Coturnix japonica: one gene and its partner. The main gene of each other region encodes a partner of the protein of the gene in region 2 in a complex. Links are inferred from orthologs where the notes say so. Each region holds a gene or a part of one and is shown on either strand. Other genes may lie near its edges. The genes, in order: DFFA and DFFB.

Region 1 (4,511 bases), about 2.4 Mb from region 2:
TGTACACGATATCATAGGAACCCAAATGTTTCTCAGGCAATCGCATTTACCAATTAAGCAGACTTCTTCATTGGAAACCTGCAGGCAGCTGCCTCATGGACTGCCCCAGGTGGCTCACAGATCAGTCTGAGGCTGTTTCAGGCTTCCTCCTGTTGACAGAGCTCAACCCACATCATGAGGAACAGATTGATGTGCCTGCACCTCAAGGTGCTACTGATGAAAGCACACAACCAGCACAGAACTGCCCAGCAAGCCAACCAGCAGCCTGATAATGGGGCCTATACAGCCTGGGAGCTCACAGTGTCAGAGCACAGCCTTTATGGAACGTATCTCATCTCTGTTTAGTTCAGCAATGCTCACTACAAACTTAGCTTTTTCAGTCCAAAATAAAAGTACCAATGGAAACGTGTGTGGTGATTCAGTCAAATGAGAACAGACGTGAATGACTGCACAGAAAAGCGAAGCAGACTTTGCTGTTTCCCTCCCTGCTCCTCTCTCCTTCACCTGCAAGGAAAGGCCTTTCTGCAACCGCTTCAAGGATGGTTTTACAGCCTTCATATGGTCCAGCATAGCACTGCATCAGAGGCAGAGGTGAGATGAGGAGTGCCAGGTCCCTGCTCCTGGGCTCGGTTGGCAGTGTGTGACACTGGGGTTATGCTGCACTCTGTCCTATGGCACCGCCTTTGGGGTTTCCCTCACAGCTGGCTGGAAACCCACAATGAGTGCAGCTCCACCATGCTGCCATCTTCCCTTCTGCCTTCCCCGTTTGCTTCAGGGCCCAGTTTATGAAACCCCAGCGATCCCAGCACCTGCCCAGAGCAGACAGTCACTCCATCACACCCGTGCCTCTCCCCACGCCCCACACTCACTCGTGGGCAGCGTTTGCATCGCGCCTGTCATTGCAGTGCCCTTTGGTGCCATTGCTTCAAGGATCTCCCAACCTGTTTGTTGCGAGGCAGAATCACTTGGTCTACCTGACGTGCAGACCCACCTGACGGGCACTGTGCCTGTCTGTACCCGGGCTCTGCGTTGGTTTGTTCCCACTTTTTTTATCCTCCCATCCAAGTGCTTAACTCCACACACACACATACACACACAGAGCTCCCCGAGGCCGGGCAGCCGCTCCATGCGGGATCCTCCTCCCCTCTGCCCCTGGAGGCCGCTATGAGGGGGGGGCGGGCGGCGGTCGGAGCTGAGGCCGCGCGTGGGGGGCAGGAGCGAAACCCAGATCACGAGGAGGCGGCGGGGACGGCAGGGGAATCAAGGCAGGGAATGGAGGCCCGCAGCTCGCAGCCCTGCCCTCCCTTCACCCTGACCTCTCCCCCGCGGCTCTGTTGGCAGCCCGGCCCTGCCCGCCCCGCTGCCCGAGCAGAGCGCACAGCTCCGGCCCCTCGTACCTGGCTGGGCTGCTCCGCTTGCTCCGAGGCCGCCATCTTCCCAGGCCCGGCTAATCCATGCCCGCCCAGGCGATGGCACAGCCCGCCCCGCCGCCCGTAGCGCCGCAGGCAGCACGAGCCGAGCTCCGCACCGCCGATACAGCACAACGCGATGCTCTGCCGCACGGAGCTCGTGTCCCTTTAAGGCGGCTGCGGAACTACGCGGCCCATCGCGGCCATGGCGGGGCGGCTGAAGCCGTGCGTGGTGCGGCGGGGAGACGGCAGCGAGCAGCACGGGCTGGCAGCGTCCTGCCTGCGGGAGCTGCGCGATAAGGGTGAGCGGCGCTGCACGGGCACGGCCCGCTCATACAGCACGGGGTCAGAACGGCATTAAACGTTTCTCTGCGCGCAGCTGGACGAGCTCTGGGTATCGGCGAGGACGGGCGGCCCGTCACCTTGGTGCTGGCGGAGGATGGAACCATCGTGGACGACGAGGATTATTTCATGTGCCTGCCCGCAAACACCGCCTTCGTGGCGCTGGGCAAAGGAGAGAGGTGGTGCGGGACGAGCGCAGGTACGAGCGGGGCTAGGGACCTCGGAAAGGAGGCAAAGGGCATAGAAAAGCAGCGTTAAATAGCTTTAAATGGGTAACGGCTGTCGTCCCGATCTCGATAGCTTTGTGTTTTCATCTTTTGGCTGCTGATGTGATGTGGCAGGCGGCAGATCGGGCTGGCTATCACAGCCTGCGGATGAAGTGGACAGCGGGGCAGAGAGGTGGAGGCAGCTGGCACGGCAGCTGAAGGGAGACCTGTCCAACATCATCCTGATGTCTGAAGGAGACCTGCAGGTACGGGGGGTGGGGGACACCAGGCTCATCCATCCATTGCAAAGGATGGCATAAATTGGATCACTTAATTCAGCTCTTGTTTCTTTGGCTGTGGTGCTAACGTGAAAATTCTCCTTGAGGGGGATTCCTTGTTCCACTGACAGCACCAGCGTCTGAGGAAGATGCTCTAAACCACTGACTGTCCCTCACATCATGTCTTTGTGCCTCTGCCCCTTCTTGCCTTCCTGAAACATGCAGATTCTCAAGTGCCAGCCTTGAGGCTCCGTCATTCAGGCTTGTCGTTTGTGCTGTAATCAGTGTGATGGAATTGCTCATCACTCAGTCCATAGAACAGGAACACTCCTATCGTTTGAAGGTGCTGATTGACATACCACGTTCAGATCTGGCAGAGGAACTTGCCCAAAGTCAAACCAAAACCCAGGTACTGCAGGACACCCTGCAGCAGGTGCTGGACAGACGAGAAGAGGAACGTCAGTCAAAGCAGCTCCTGGAACTCTACTTAGAGGCCTTGAAAAATGAAGACAGCGTCTTAAGCAAAGTAGCAGGTAGGGAACGTGAGGATATTGAAGAAGGAGCTTCTCAGAGAAGCCTGAAAGAGTTGAGTGGGACAGATAAGTGGGGGAAGGATTGGAGTGAGTCACTTGCTATTAACATGGGTGATTGAATAGCTGGTGTAGTGGAAGAATACCCTGAGTGGGAGGAGTCCTTTCACTGCTTACAGTGCCTGAAAGTAGAATATGGGGGCAAAGCTTACGTAGTGTAGTCATCCTTAATACTATGGGTTTCCTAAGTTAGAGACTGAGTATCTAATCTTAAAAAGAACAGCGCAGTCTGGGCTATGCTTCCCGTCCTGTGTGTGTGGCTGTAATGATTCTTCTGCTTTTCAGAGTCTGAGAGCGTACCAAGAAAGGAGATGGATGTGGTCGACACAGGTACCAGCAGTGCAGGGACTTCAGCCACAACAGCCCTCAGTGTCCAGATCTGTGCTGTTCTGAAAGAGAAACCTGCCCCAGAGCTCTGCTTAGACAGTCAGACTCTAGAGGTGGGTGAGGATCATACAACCATGTTCTGGCACATCTCTCCTGTCTGGATAAAGGGTTGAGAGCTGAAGCTTCTGTGGCATGAAAAGGAAAGTCTGGGTAAACTAGCCATGACAAAGTGTTCTGATGATATGAAATTATTAATCTCGCTTTTCTGTGCTGCAGAAGCTAGGGAACTGTTTTCCGTTAGTTGGAACGTAGAGCTTCAAGCTCTAAGTACTGGTAGGATATAAAGAAAAATAAATTCGCTTAGGAGATACAAGCTGCAGGCTGGAAACATCTTCAACACCAAATTAGCATTAAAGAGGTGTCTCATTACTCCTGTTCTTGGTGCGTGCGGGCAGGCGGTTGTGGTGGTAGAGCATCAGTGGGCAGCACTGCTACAAATCTTTCTCTTACAGCTGGTGGTGAAGGAAGACACTCAAGCCCTGGCTGCAGCTTTAAGCTGGGACAAGCAGAAAGCCGAAGCTGTACAACAAGCTTGTGATCAGGAGCTCTCCAAGCGTCTACAGCAAGTGCAGACTTTGCACTCCCTGAGGAGCACATCGAGGGGCAAGAAAGCGCTGCCCTGTGGAGATGGGCTCAGTTCAAAACGCAGGAAATAAGACTATAGCTCTGCCTCAAGTGTCAGGGAAATGCAAGTAGTTGTGGGTTGCATTTTTTGTGGTTGTTTTTTTAATTAGAACCAACAGAAATAAGGTATGTCCTGGGAGCCATAGTTTGCTGGTCATACTGTGGTCTGGCTGCAGAAAACTAAGATTTGGACATTGTCCTGAGGCATAAATACTTGTGCTGATTCAAATCATGTGTAACCAAAGGGATGTGGACTTTTTGCAGAGTACTAGAACAATGGTATTGCTAAACACAGCGTGTAAGAGTTCAGCTCTGAATAGCTCATTGGGAGCCAGAAAATTCCATCTGATGGTGCTGATCTGGCTGTGAAGCCTTGGACAGTTTGTTCACCTTCCCACCATCTACAGCAGAAAGGATGAAAATTACCTACATCGTTAATGAACAGGAATCAGGCATTTTGATCATTGCTCACTGAACAGTTTTTAGGGGGGGGTTGAGGGATTTATTGTGATATTATCATTGTGCCATTTTTTCAGCCGCTTCCTTTCATCTCCAGCCTGGTATGTAGGCACTTGGAATTCTCATGCTAATCCTACCAGTTAAAGTAAAATCAAAACCTCTTCTGTGTTTTTGTTGTGGTTATGGGTTGGTTGTTTTGGTTTTTTTTTATGTAAA
Region 2 (4,518 bases):
GAGCACAAGGGTGGTAAAAGCAGAGATGCAGTGAAGCATCCTTCTAGAAGACTTGCATCTATGCAACAGTAGATTGAATGGTCACAGATGAGTGCAGGTGTCTTCATATAGAAGAGCCAGCAGCTCTGCCACTGAATCATTTGGCCTGTCTGCAATACAGCGCCTGTCTTCCTGGTAAAGGCACAGAATAATTACCCTGAAGTATTCTTTGTTTGGCTTAACGTTCAGAGCAGTATTAATCTACTTAATTTATAAGAAACGTTCTGTGTAAGTTCAGTTTCTGCACTGTGCATTTTGCACCTACATTTATCACAGCAAGCAAGAAATCATAAGGTATCATCAGTGTCAGCTTCTGGCCTCTATTTTGCACATTGCAGCTATGAGTCAGATTATCACACTCAGCAGTGTCATCTGAGGTGGGAGAAGGAGGCACGATCTGAGCGCATGCTTTGTGAGATTGCAGTTCAATGAATGCACTGGAGGTGATAAAGGAAGAAGTCCTTGCAGAAGAGACCAGCTAAGTAAGGTTTTGTTTAAGAAACAAGAGCTATTTAAACATTATACCATCTTACATGATTTTGAAATGGAAAGAAACCAAAACCAGCAGTTGCTTCCAAAGGGAGCGCTATGAAATCTCACGGCTTTGCTTCCTTTTTCTGTAAATCTTAGTTTTGTCACAGCTGAGATTATGATTGGTTTTCTTATGGCAAGCAATATGGACAAGCTTTAGATTATCCACTGTAAACAATAGCTGATAGAAGTACTCCCAGTTCACTTCTCTTCCATCTCGTGTTTTGACAGCTTCTGCCAGCTCTGGGACAACGCTGCGTTTCTTTTCTATTCTGCAGAATGCAAAAGAGAAAACAATATTGCCATCAAAATCTGCTTTCTTAACAATATGCCTCCATCTTCCTTTTAAAGCAAGGCAGAAGTTGCATTCTCTCACCATAACTGGGTTTAAAATGGTTTTAGGAAGGAATCAATTTAGCTTTGCTTCAGAAATGCACAATGCCTGGAAAGAGGGACACGAGGATATCCTTCATAAAGGATAACATGGTGGAAAGGGGTAAATTCCCATACAAACAAAATCTGAGCAGGTAAATCTGGATTTATACATGCATTATACATACATGTGATCGAGATTCCAGGTGCTGAAGAGGATTCTGCTTTCCCTGTTCGTATAGGGGTTGATAGAATGCTTACATGGGCAGTCATCTCTGTCAAAAGGGCCCTGTAAAAAAGGTGGCTGCGATGAAAGGCACGTTGTTCATCATCCCAGCTCAGTCCCAGTCCTGAACTGATGCAGCTCCATCTCACTACAACCACACACAGGTGATAATGTTGCCAAAACTCAGCTCTTCTCTATGCAAGCACTGAAGTCACCATCTCCCCCCTCTAATGTTGTCAGTGCTGCTTGTTAGAACCGAGACTGCTTTGGGGCAGGGCTGAACCTACCTGACAAGAGAACCATCCCTCCTTTGTGCACAGCCGCACCGCTGCCTCCTCCTCTGTCCTGTCAAAGTAGCTGCCGTTATATCTCACAGACTTCAGTTTATCCGACATCAGCTCAAGTATCCTTCTATACGCATCTCTTGCTGTAGGATGAACATTTGAGATAAAATTACTAACCTAAAAGAAAAACAGAAGTACAGTCACTCCTTGGTGTCTGGAGCAGGTCTCTAATGCAAGTACCATGCTTGTACTTAAACATACATTTGTGTGTGCTTAGTGTACATGTAATCACTTTTACCTCCTTCATGTAGCTCCGTATCCTGCTTTCACAGCTGTACCGCATATAACTTGATTTGTTCTTAAAACGAGATTCTAGACCTAAAGAGAAGCAGCTTCATTTAGTACAGTACTTCCAATTCTGTGCATCTTCTTCGACGTGTACCTATGGCTTTTGCTCACAAACTCAGCATACAGGCTTTATTTTATTGCTGGGCTTAACAGAACCACACAGAGCATCTACTGTGAGAGCAGGGTTGATGTGTCAGGTAGCAAACAGGCTGTTTATCACCAGTGGAAACACACAGCTAATAGTGATGAGTGTGTAGAAAAGCAGCGTTTTGTAGCTGAGGATTTGCTCTATCAAATAGCATTGTCGTGCTCTTTGTGTGTGGAACACTGTGCCCAGTTCTGGGCTCCTCTGGTCAAGGCAGTGGGATCTGTGGGACACCCAGCAGAGGGGGGGCCTGGAAAGGATGAGAACGATGGGGAGAAGGCGGCCAAGAGGGGATGTGAGTGCTTATAGATATCAGAAGGGCATGAGGACAAGGCCAGGCTCTTATCAGTACACACTCACGAAGCACACACACCTTCGAACCACTTCCCGTCCTCATCCCGTCGCTCTGCAGCGCTGTCCCCGCTCATGTTGTGTATAAGATCCGCCAGCAGCTTCTGCCTGCGGGGCGCCCGCTCGTCCTGCAGCAGCCGCCGTGCGGCCTCCACCACCGCGTCCGTGCGGCTGCACAGTGCGACCAGGAACCGCTCCACGTCCCCGCAGCCTGCACACGGAGCGGCCTTTAGGAGCCTTTATCAGCCTTTATCATCCCGTATCACCGCGCCCCTGTCACTCACATCCCGTCCAGCTCTCCCCGGGCCGCAGCAGCACCAGCTCCGTGTGCGGCGATAACGTGCGGAAGAACGGCTCGCTCAGCTCCGTCCCGTCCTCGTAGAGGCACAGCCGGCTCCCTGCCAACGGGAGCTGCCCGGACGGTCACACGAGACCCACAACAACCCACAACCCGTGTCCCCCCGTCCCACACCTGCAGCAGCCGGCATCCTTTCCGCAGTAACCCACGCAGGCTCCCGGCCGCAGCCCCGAACTTCTGCGCGCTGCCGGGGCGGCGGAGGCGGAACGGCCTGAGGGGAGCCGCCATGACAGCCGCTCTCCCGCCTCCCTGCGGTGGGTGCTGCGCATGCGTGGCGGCGCTCACGCTGTTGCTAAGGTGACAAGCGATGGAGCCGCGCTGAGGTGAGTGCGGTGTAGGCCCGGCTCGGCCGGGTCGCTCCATTTTGCTTCTCTCTGCTCTCAAAGCTCCCTTTGAAAAGCTGTGTTAAGCCATCCCAGTATCCAGGTCCCCTACGTGGCGGCTCATGGCTCGGTAGGGGCCGTTTTCCCGAGCTGGCTTCTCTGAGGCCTGCGGGGCGCTGCCCTCCCAAGGCCTCCTGCTGAGGGAAGGGCGGAAAGTAATTGCTTAACATCGCAATGGGGATCGATGTGCTGCCCTCACAGCTCCTGCTGTGTGTGTGTGTTTGGCTGTGGCCTGGGGACGTGCATGGCTGTGAAACGTCACTGGGTGACTCCTGCTTAAGTTGATTCTGTTCTTGTTGTTACTGTAATGATTATTTCCTTCCAGACCTATGGGGAGGGATGTCACGTTGCTCTGAAGGTTTTGCAGCTGGGCAAGTGGAGCAAGGAGAAGCTTCTGTGCTCATCACCATTCGTGTGTTAGATTTAGACCTTCTGGACTTGGAAGGAGCCCACAAATAATTGGGGTTCTGCCTTTTAACACAGTTGATCTTGCTGTCCAAGTTAACCAAGCCCTCACTTCACTAAGCCCTGATAAAACATAAAAGAAAATGGTACAGTTTATGGTGCTAGCATTAAATAAATTCAGATTTACAGTCGGCAGCTGCTGAATTAATGGACCACGGTACAGAATTCTTGGACTGCAGTGTTTCGGTGTTGTTTTATTGCCCTCCTAAGGATTAGCTTAAGTTTGAAACATGGTTGTTTTGTATAGCTCGCCTCTGCAGGATGCCACACAAGATTGGCTTTATAGTCGTCAGCTCATCGGGGCACGAAGATGGCTTCAGTGCAAAAGAGCTGATGGTCCACGCACCAACAGTGAACGGATGGCGATCACCAAGGTACTGCAAGTGAGAGCAACGTGCTTAATCCTACAGCACTGAGTTTACATTGAGTGGGAGATGCAGCATGTGTTTTCAGACTAGTTTAATGCATGCTAGACCAAACTGGTTATTAAACCAAAGCATCTAAGTTACTTTTAACCCTGTGGAGGCCTTATTCTGCAGGAGAAAAATAGCCTTGGTTACACTGAAAGGTCATATTAACAATTTGCAACTGCGTTGGCTTGGAATTAAAACTACAGTCTTCTCAATACATCTTCTGGGTGTATGTAGTTGTTTTAGTTTCAGCTGGAACAGTCGTTTTCCTTCATAGTGACTGACAGGCTGCTATGTTAAACCACAACAGCAGTGCACTTTTAACAGACACACGCGTGCATTAAAGTGAAAAATGTTTCTACTCTTTGTTTTTATGATATTTTAACAATGGCAAACTATAAGAGCTTTACAAAGTTGCATGATTAAATGTTATTCAAGTTGGAAACCAAGTGATCTTTAAAAAGGTGGCTCAAAACTGTGTGTCCTTTCAGACTCTGTCAGTATCCACAAGAAATTGTTCTGCAGTTGGTGGAGAGATGTCGAATACGAAAGCTGCAGCTGCTTGCTCACCAGTACATGATCTCCAGCAAAATTGAGTTCTTCATC

Evidence for each region.
Region 1: the proteins of DFFB (region 2) and DFFA are in contact, whole or in part, in an NMR structure (PDB 1F2R), measured with the Mus musculus proteins. The link is inferred for Coturnix japonica from reciprocal best matches to the Homo sapiens genes DFFB and DFFA. Residues at the interface, in NP_031885.3 of Mus musculus: Cys10, Lys12, Arg14, Ala19, Cys20, Lys21, Phe22, Gly23, Val24, Ala25, Ala26, Arg39; in NP_001020467.1 of Mus musculus: Asp66, Thr68, Ile69, Val70, Asp71, Asp72, Asp74, Tyr75, Trp94, Tyr96, Asp100.

What each region holds. Positions count from the first base shown.
Region 1 is NC_029536.1:3,186,207-3,190,717, reverse strand, and holds the start of DFFA (DNA fragmentation factor subunit alpha), read left to right. Parts: upstream 1-1,534; 5' UTR 1,535-1,614; coding exon 1,615-1,711; intron 1,712-1,788; coding exon 1,789-1,950; intron 1,951-2,092; coding exon 2,093-2,223; intron 2,224-2,578; coding exon 2,579-2,768; intron 2,769-3,110; coding exon 3,111-3,265; intron 3,266-3,664; coding exon 3,665-3,868; 3' UTR 3,869-4,511. Other genes in the region: peroxisomal membrane protein PEX14, read right to left, coding at 1,398-1,433. UniProt on the Homo sapiens protein: Inhibitor of the caspase-activated DNase (DFF40).
Region 2 is NC_029536.1:770,074-774,591, forward strand, and holds the start of DFFB (DNA fragmentation factor subunit beta), read right to left. Parts: upstream 2,970-4,518; 5' UTR 2,883-2,969; coding exon 2,769-2,882; intron 2,708-2,768; coding exon 2,581-2,707; intron 2,508-2,580; coding exon 2,319-2,507; intron 1,831-2,318; coding exon 1,751-1,830; intron 1,630-1,750; coding exon 1,456-1,629; intron 1,232-1,455; coding exon 1,131-1,231; intron 843-1,130; coding exon 626-842; 3' UTR 1-625. Other genes in the region: CEP104 (centrosomal protein of 104 kDa), read left to right, coding at 3,764-3,876, 4,404-4,518. UniProt on the Homo sapiens protein: Nuclease that induces DNA fragmentation and chromatin condensation during apoptosis. Degrades naked DNA and induces apoptotic morphology.